2 linked regions of the Arabidopsis thaliana genome follow. The protein of the gene in region 2 interacts with the protein of the main gene of each other region in a pairwise test. Each region holds a gene or a part of one and is shown on either strand. Other genes may lie near its edges.

Evidence for each region.
Region 1: the proteins of tny (region 2) and ADA2B interact in a two-hybrid assay, tested with the Arabidopsis thaliana proteins (one study listed by BioGRID).

Annotation. Positions count from the first base shown.
Region 1 is NC_003075.7:9,262,077-9,268,131, forward strand, and holds ADA2B (ADA2 2B), read right to left. Parts: upstream 4,082-6,055; 5' UTR 3,700-4,081; coding exon 3,650-3,699; intron 3,207-3,649; coding exon 3,151-3,206; intron 3,064-3,150; coding exon 2,891-3,063; intron 2,768-2,890; coding exon 2,702-2,767; intron 2,612-2,701; coding exon 2,486-2,611; intron 2,389-2,485; coding exon 2,313-2,388; intron 2,224-2,312; coding exon 2,175-2,223; intron 2,097-2,174; coding exon 2,077-2,096; intron 1,826-2,076; coding exon 1,606-1,825; intron 1,524-1,605; coding exon 1,313-1,523; intron 1,233-1,312; coding exon 1,008-1,232; intron 921-1,007; coding exon 729-920; 3' UTR 545-728; downstream 1-544. Other genes in the region: AT4G16400 (uncharacterized protein), read left to right, coding at 1-26; AT4G16410 (uncharacterized protein), read right to left, coding at 1-500; AT4G16430 (basic helix-loop-helix (bHLH) DNA-binding superfamily protein), read left to right, coding at 5,523-6,055. UniProt on the Arabidopsis thaliana protein: Required for the function of some acidic activation domains, which activate transcription from a distant site. The exact mechanism of action is not yet known.
Region 2 is NC_003076.8:8,986,000-8,989,552, forward strand, and holds tny (Integrase-type DNA-binding superfamily protein), read right to left. Parts: upstream 1,900-3,553; 5' UTR 1,634-1,899; coding exon 977-1,633; 3' UTR 543-976; downstream 1-542. UniProt on the Arabidopsis thaliana protein: Putative transcriptional activator.

The sequences.
Region 1 (6,055 bases), on a different chromosome or scaffold from region 2:
GAGACGATATAGAAGCTACCACCTAAGATGAGTAGAATGAGAATGGCGGAGATTGGGTTCTTGAGGAGCTCAAAGATGGGCTCAAAGACAGCAGAGAGAGCTCCAGTGCTAACCGTGAGAGCGTAAAGACCGTACCTTCTAACGTTGTCCCAAAACTCTTCCATTAAAGGACCTTCTGGTCCAAGCGCCATAGCTTTCTCTGCATCCATTCCCAATACCAAAACCATCATCAACCCTACAGAGACTCCACCAACCACAGCATATCTCCAGTGCCGTTCCAAACCCAGAGGAGGAGGTTGTGCTCTTTCAAGCTTGCTGTTTCTGCTACTTTTCGTAGTCAATCTTCTTCTGGCTGAGCCACACCGAACAAGACATGATGTTCTGTTCCTTATGCTTGAGCTTGGAAAAGCTAGAGCTGCTGCTATTGATCTGCTACTGGTAAAATGGAGGTGTGGTTGCAGACAAGATAGTCTCATTTTGGGGAGAGACATCATCGTCATCTCACTTCTTCCTTTCCTTGTAGGAGTCAGATTCTTTCTTATATACTAAAACATTTGGTTTAGATTGTGTGGCTCTGATTCACCTTATCTCTTTTCACAATCTGTGGATAACTTAATCGTTTTTCTATTACAAACTAATTTTGACAAGGTGTAATAAACAAGGGAATGTCAACAAATAACTCATTAGAGCTCACACATATATATATATGATACAACACTACACAAGCCTTAAAGTTGAGCAATACCCTTCTTCACAAGCATATCATAAACTCGATCCACTTTGGTTGGATCAATCTTGAAAAGGCTATATGCATCCGACTTCTTCGTTACATTCCCTTTGAATATCTCATGTGACATCACTTGTTGCATCTGTAGATAAACCGGTGGAACCAACTTGACCTCGCTGCAGAGACGCTTCTCCTGCAAAACAAAGAGCTTTCTTCTTTCAGTTACAACGACAGAAAACTCATCTCACACTGTTCAGTATCTCAGTTCTCAGACACTTACGGATTCAGACAGCAGTTGCGACTCCGTGAACCCAATCAAGTCCAAATCATTCACATAGCTTGAAGAAGCTTGCACAGGTGGTCTAGAGCCCATCTCCCCTGCAATTTGACCAAATTGACCGCTCTCTTTCCCTCTGTTCATCCCTTCTTCGTTTTCTCTCTTCCTCTTCCTTCCCAGATACCTCTCTGCTTCAGCCGTTGAACGACACCCTGCCACTTGAGCTTCCTGCTCCACCAATCCAACACAGTGAGCCACATCCAATCCAAGAAACCAAACGCACAGTTTGAGGGTAGCAATGTCCTTACCTTGAGATCTTTGAGCCGTTTCACCATGCGGTACTCGCTTACAACATTACGGAGTAGCTCGTCGTGCTCCTCTTTTGAATGAAAACGCATAAAAACGTCCAAACGTCGGCATTGTACTTTCTCCTCCTGAGACAGGTCCTTCTCAAAGGGATTTGGGTACAACAGGTTTCTTTCTATTATGAATTCTTTTCTACGTTTCCTCTCATCAAGCCTACAAACATCATACTCACCTGCGTCAGAATGGACAGCAAAAAGAAGAGACTTTGTTCCCCTTTTGATCTTAAATGTTGTACCTTTTTGAATAGATACGCAACACACGCAGCTTCAGTTCATGTTCTTCAGGAGTATCGTTCTCTTTGAACTCCATCTCCGCCAAGAGTTGCTCAGCATCATTGTCATATTCAGGGTCAAACTCTTCTCTTTTCTGGTTGTAATTACTCAGCTCAACCAAAGAGTTGTTTACCGAGGTGGAAACAGGTTTCTTCCCTCCAAAACTTCTGTCTACAAAAGACTCTAACCACAAAGAATGTCAAAACATAGAAAAAGGGAGAAAATATCTACCAGTATAAATACAATGACAAATATTGGGCCTTTTTGGATTTTAAAATTATGCTCAGTCAGCTTCTTACTTTACAAGTAGATGATTCCATTTACGCGATGGTTAACTAGATTATAACTACTGGTGTAAGCTAGAGCAAGTAAATAACAAAACGATAAGCACACCTATATACGAACCAGATATAGCATACAAAGCAAGAACTCACCTTTTTGTGTGTCTTCAACTCTGCAAGAAAATTGAACAAAAGATGAGAAAATTATAGGGTTATCACTGTACAGTACATGAGAAGAACGAGAAACATACTTGACTTTAGGAGGAGAGAACGGGTACTCTTCTTTCATGTTCTGCTCTGCTGCCAAAGAAGAAACCACTTCAAAATCAGAATTAAAATAGCAACACGTACAACGCAGAATCAAAACCATCAAGCAAAGAAGCGCATACCTTTCTTGTCATCAATGCGTCCTTTAGCCATGGCTTGAAGTTCTTTTCTGTTCTTCCCTGCTACATGTGACATATCCTGGGAAAATAAACGTTTCTCCTGAATTAGTTAATACCTTGCAAAAGGCTGGCACTACTGAGGTAGATAGGTATCTTATCAGATCGATGTAGCATACCGGAAGTGGGAAAAATGGTGAGTTCAAATAGATGTTTCTGTAGTGCTCAAGACACTGTTCTTTACTCTTCGTTCCCACGTGCTCCGCAACCTCTGCCCAGTTTCCCAAGCCATAAATTTCAAGTCCCTGAATAAAGACATTAAAAGAAATTACTTTTCACTGAAAGAATCAGACATTATAGACTTCATATCAGTACGATAAAAGAAGTAGTGGTACCTCCAGGAGAAGCATTTCATCATCCGCACTCCAGTCAGGACAAATAAGCGGGAAAGTTAGATTTCCCTAACAAAGCAAATGAAACATATATTAAGCTTTGGTAGAATTCAACCAAAAGATATTTTCGCTAAGTATAATGAATCAAACTCTTTCCAAACTAAAAGGTAAGAAAAGTAAATGAAAACTAACCATAACTCGGTATGGGTGATCACATTTGTGAGGAGTGATCTCTGCTCCAACAGACATACATTCTATACAGAGATCAAAATCTGGACAGACAGCACACTTTATCCTAATTTTTCCAGTAATGTCTTTCTGGCAATAATCGCAGTTATACTTCCCTCCTCCCTCAGCACCTGGTACTGTCTCCACAAATAAAAAATGTTGAGTAAAAGAAGAATCTTGACAGGAGAAACAAAAAAAAAAAACCTTGATAAGTATTTTTTTACCCAAAGAAGTAGACTCAAAGTTCTCCACATTAGCCGCATTTTTCTTTTTCCTCGTTCTGCAACAAACGCATAACACGATTCTTTCATGTCAGCTTCAACAGTGAAAAAACAATTACACAGATGAAAACAGAGAAGAGACTACATAGCTACTGAAAGTTTTCAAAAGCAACAAACTTTAAGCGATGCTCATTGTCCCAACTGAAAAATCAATGATTGTTGCACAAAGCAGATGCAAAGAAACTTCAAAATCAATCAATTTCAGCAGAAATTGGCACAATTACATAGATGAAGATAGAGGAGACTATAGCTACTGAAAGTTATCAAAAGCCACAAATTTGAAGCCATGCTCATTGTCCCAACTAGAGATCAATGACAATTGCACAACACAGACTCAAAGAAACTTGAAATTCAAATCAATTTCAGCACAAATTGGCAATTACAAAAGAGAAATCCACAAAAACCCCAAATCGGAAATTAGAGTAGTGAATTAGGAACAAACCTCTGAGTAGGGTCTTCGAAATTTTGGAAGTTCCCTCGAGAGCGACCCATTGATGCCCAAGTAGAAAATTGGATTATTGGGTTATGCGAAACCACAGAGAAGAAGAACCCTAGCGTAATGCCAACATGGGAGACTCACCGGAGAAGATGGAATGGGTACTTGGGGGGGTTTCGTGGAAGAAAGATCTAATCGGAATTCAACAAAACTCGGTCGAAATTTGTGAGGTTTTGGATCTCTACTAATATTATTCAGAAGTTCCGACCGAGAAGATTAAAATTAGGGAAGTCGAGGTAAAGGAAATTTCTAAGGCACTGTACTTTTTAGATTTTTTGGGATTAGACGGTCATGCTTATTACTAAAGCATATGACTTAAACTAAATTGACTCTTATAACTTCAACTTAAAAAACTATTATTTTTTATGTTAATTGTTGAATGGTGGTTGAGGGAAAAAAAAATGAAGAAAAAAAAGCTAAGATAGACCATTTTTATTGGTAATTTTTTATTATTAAAATAATAAAAATAATAAAAGGAAAAGAAAGAGAGTGTAGAATGTTTCTCGTTAAACTATGAAATACTTTATACAAACCATCATAATATTTTTCTCTTTTCAATTGGTTCGCTAAAATAAAAATTTAATCATATATAAAATTATAATAAAATACTAATATTCTTTTTGTTTGAAAAACTGTTTGGGTTTCTTCTTGATGGAGATGTCTTTAATATTTGGTTGGGTTATGGTTATTCGTTTTTAGGTATTTTGTTCATGGACATTTTCAGTAAATGAATTAGCAAGTAAATAAACTTGTATAGGAATAAATGGTTAGTGTTGTCACACACTATCGGAACAACATTATGATGTATTTTAAAATCTTATTGATGCTAATTTGAAAAATTGATTTGGAAGAAGGTTAAGCAAGGAAACAACCATATAAGATAGTTTGATGCTAATTTAAAGTTTCTTATTTTGGTCGAAAATCGAATTATTAGAAATGTTTGAACCTTTTTTATTAGACATCTAGTGATAAATTTTATAAGACTCATGTCAATCGAATAAAAATATCGAATTGTTGTTTTGCTGAACGAATAAGTTTGTCTATATTAGACGCGATTAGTTCTTCTAAACCACATTATCCAAAAAAATCGTGATTGACTACATGGTGTAATGATACCTATCATACCATCTCAAGAATATGGCATGACTCATCCAATTAACAATTGTATTTGCGCATAATTGTAAGATGTGTAAATTCCTTTTCCGCTTATTAACGGTGATTTGCGATAAGTTAATTCAGAAGACGAGTTTCGATTCTCCCATCATAATAGGTTGTACTACGAAATAATTTCCCAACATGTACACATAATCTCGACAAAAATCCAGTGATATGGGTTTACTTGTAGTTGAATAGATATTACACCACAATGACTTGTGGTTTGGTATGTAAGAAAAGGCAAAAGTATAGTTTGCAGTTAAAAAACTGAAGGAAATGATGTCCTTGGTATTAAATTACGATTAAACCCATATTCTCTCTCTCGCATAGTCTCTTCCTCTTTTCTTCTTTCTTCGTCAATTTCAGAACAAGTCACTACAGATCTGAAGTGAACCAAGCTCAGGTTTTGTCTTCTCTTTGATCATTCCTTTCTCAGCAATATAAATTAGAGTTATATCCTTTATAAAGGATTTTGCTTTTTCACCAACAAACCCTAAATTCGGTGTCTCAGCAAGAATCACGTGATTCTCGTTCCTCTTCCTCACGAAACCCATCATCTTCTATCTCATTTGTAAGCAGCGATCTCAATCCAAATACCTTTAATTTTATTTGATTCCATACCCTAATTTTTGTATATTCCATGTCAATGAACGTTTCAGGAGAAATGGGTCAAAAGTTTTGGGAGAATCAAGAAGATCGAGCGATGGTTGAATCCACCATAGGCTCTGAAGCTTGCGACTTTTTCATCTCAACAGCTTCAGCTTCCAACACTGCCTTGTCCAAGCTTGTCTCACCACCAAGTGATTCCAATCTCCAACAAGGGTTACGTCACGTTGTTGAAGGATCTGATTGGGATTATGCTCTTTTCTGGCTAGCGTCCAACGTTAATAGCTCTGATGGTTGTGTCTTGATCTGGGGAGATGGTCATTGCCGTGTCAAAAAGGGTGCTTCAGGTGAGGATTACTCTCAGCAAGATGAGATCAAAAGACGTGTGCTTCGCAAGCTTCACTTGTCGTTCGTTGGTTCAGATGAAGATCATCGTTTGGTGAAATCAGGAGCTCTTACTGATCTCGACATGTTTTATCTGGCTTCTTTGTACTTTTCCTTTAGGTGTGATACCAATAAGTACGGTCCTGCTGGAACCTATGTGTCTGGGAAGCCTCTTTGGGCTGCAGATTTGCCTAGCTGCTTGAGTTA
Region 2 (3,553 bases):
GTAAAAAAAAAACAAAAGTTATGACGGTAATAGGAAAAAGTTTTTACGTTAATTTATTATTATTATATGTTAATCTTTGATTATATAGAAGTCATTTCAATAGATTCTGTTTTTATTTAATAAGATTAATGGATAGTGAGGAATTCTAATTACAGTTAATCATTAAAGTTTTTAGCCTTTTTTCAACGACGAAAAAGAAAAGATACGTAAGATCGTGACCAAAAAAAAAACAAAGTGGGATCCATTTTGAACCATTCATTACAGTTATTAATTTATTTACACATAGTATCAAACTAACTACACTTGTATTACAATATTACACAATATTGAACTTAGTGCTCCAGAGACCGAAGAGGAGATTCTTTTGTACTACTATTGGGTCGCAAAAGGAAATGCAATGAGTAAAAGTCATTGTTTGATTAGAATACAACAAGACTCGAATGCAAAATAATTCAAGTGTTTGGATATTTTAATATATATCAACTAATATTAAAATTCAATAACTGGTAGTGGAAACAGGAAAAGGCAAAAACAAACAATTGGTCAAGATTAATTTATGCTTAATCAGAAGAAAGTTTTAACCTCTAACTCTAAGGGGGAAAACAAGAAACTGAAAAGGAATCTTCAATAATTTTAAATCAACAACCTACATAGTTTTTATATCAATGTTATTAAAAACAACAGTATTACGTTTAAATTAACATTAACCTACATTCAAAATAGAAAGGTACGTGGCTTCCATTGGCTACTAGTCCAATTTATTCATTTCCAAAGTTTCCACATTTATTAAGAAAAAAAAAACACATGTTATGAGAAGTATGTACAAGTATTCATATATCGAGCTCTCTCACACCCACAAATTGAGAAAAGAAGATTCAAAGACAAATAAACCTAAAGCCGCCCTATACAAAATAAAGGGGTCATTAAAAAGTAATTATTAAACACAGCATTACTAGTATATTTTTATGATTATGACTTAATAATTATACAGTCCTTGAAGATCCCAATCTTGTGATAACGAGGCAGGAATCATTTGGTAATCACCTTCTGACCATTGCGGTGGATAAGGCCATAAGTCTGCGGAGTCAGAGAATATAAACTCGTTACCTAGCTGAGTCAAACCATCATAGCTCGATCCCAAACTTGGGAGCTCTACAATCTCCCCTAGCTCCTCGGAGCCGGTCGCGGAGGAAGACACGAGAGACTCTAGCGAAGAAGAAGACTGTGAAGATGAAAACGTTAAAGAAGAAGAAGAAGAAAAAGACTGTGAGGTCTCCATGTGTGCGGCTTTGAGAGCCGCGACCTGGATGTCTCGAGGGCTAAGCGAGCTAGGGCGTGGGAAAGAGCCGGCTAGGTCAGGGAAATTGAGTATAGCGGAGGCTCCTTTGATGCTAAGAGCGGCTACGTCGTGTGCACGCGCCGCCATCTCCGGGGAAGGAAACGTTCCTAGCCATATTCGGGATTTTTTCCTAGGTTCACGTATCTCGGACACCCATTTTCCCCAGTTCCTCTTTCGGACACCCCGATAAACCGGATGCTTACCGGAATCTTTAACCGGTTTCTTCTTCTCTTCTTCATTCTCTTGTCTGACTGCGCTAGCTTCCCAGCTCTTGGTACTCTCTGAAGCTATCATTGGTGAAGAGCTTTATACCAAAAACATCAATGCCACACTAAACCAATGTATTTATTTTTTTGGATTTCGAGGTATAGAAAAAAAAAAGTTTGAGGATATGATAAATGAATTATTTTGGGCAATGAGTAAATAATGAAGGAAAGTGAGAGACAGAGTTTGATGGGTATTTGTCTCTACATTTATCAATCACTTCCTTATTTATATGCAACAATTGTTTGAGGGTGGAGGTGGGGTGTGGTAGGGGTAAAGGGAGATATGGGACAAATATTGCACTAAGTCTTTAAGTAAGTAAAAGAAAAAAGGACCCACGGGCTAAATTGATTTGATGCTCTTAAAAGACCCGTACATATTTTTATCTATCATGACAACAGCATAAGTCCATATTTGCTTGTGTTTAGATGACCCTATTATCCTATTTTTTGTTTACTATTGAGAGAGGTGGTTTTTTTTTTTGGGTTTTGTTTATAGCTGGCTTTTGCCAATTTCATGTTGGATACATTCACTTGACAGAACAAATTTTGTGTGAGATCTAAATATAATAAATAGTTGTGACAACAGTCCACAAGTTTTCACATTTATTGCAAGTGATTCCACATTTTGGTAACTTATCCTAACCCTATAAATACGACTTGTATGTCGTATGAATAATAGGAGTATGTAACAACTCAATTATCAAGAAGTAAAAACTCTTTATAATAGAGTATCCACAAGTTATTATAAAAAGCTAGTATAAGACTTGTTTTCTTTTTTTATCAGCCATACATTAATTAATAACTAATTTTATGATTAGTTATTCAATTTGAAGATAAAAAGTTTACAAAAATAACTTCAGAAAACAATAATCTAAATGTCGAGCTAAACAATATAAGATTTGTTTTTATATATTAATAATGTTTCGTTTTTATCTAATTATATTTCTAATACAGTTATAGCATATAACATCATCAAATTTTGAAAGCATGAAAACTTTTTTGTCAAACAAACATGAAAACGTTATGATGTTATTAATAGTAAAATATAGCAGAAACAAATTCAATACATTATTCATTAATCATATATGTGTTATTATTTTGTTAAAAAGATAAAAAGGTAAAAATACACATCACTAAATTATCAAACCATATATTCAGCGTTTTATGGTTGTTAATCGTGTATAGTACTTAAAGTGTTTATCATGTGTCATAGAGATTATTATTCTGCTATAATACTTAGCTAAAATTGTATTATTTATTTTAAGAGGTTATTATGATTTTTGAAACAAAGGAAAAATAAGGTTAGAGCTAATGTAATTATGTAGAAGATGAGGATCTTATTTGCAACTAATCATCTCTCGTGTTTCCTAAAAGCAAATTTCATTAAAGTTCTCAATTTATAAATAAATAAAAGTCCCCTTTAGAATTCAAGAATCAAGAAAACATCGATATAACGAGATAAATTATTTTGGTGTAGAGCCGACATAATAATCTTTTATTTTAATACATGATCGTGACTTTTTATTAGATTTTATGAATTTTCTTCTTCGCGGAGAAAATGGTGTGTCAACTGTTTTTAGTTATTTTAATGTTTTCATCGCAAATTTACTGTTCAATTATCCCTTATCGTGATCTCAATGCATCATCATGCTTGTCACTACAAACTCATTATCTATACATATAATTCGAATATATTTTTTGTCAACTATAAAATTCAAATACTTTTTTTTGTCTAGCATGTGTGTTTATATATGCATACGCATATCAGGTTCGATAAATTTAAGTTGATTCGAGATTGTAAAGCTGCCAAGTCTAAACTTTCTTAAGGATTTCCGCATGCACGTTTTTATCCAAGAGATCCTTGCATCTAATTATTTCGACAGAAATAATTTTATTATGATTCTTTGACATTATTGCATTGTAATGATGTAGCCCCAAAAATTGTAAA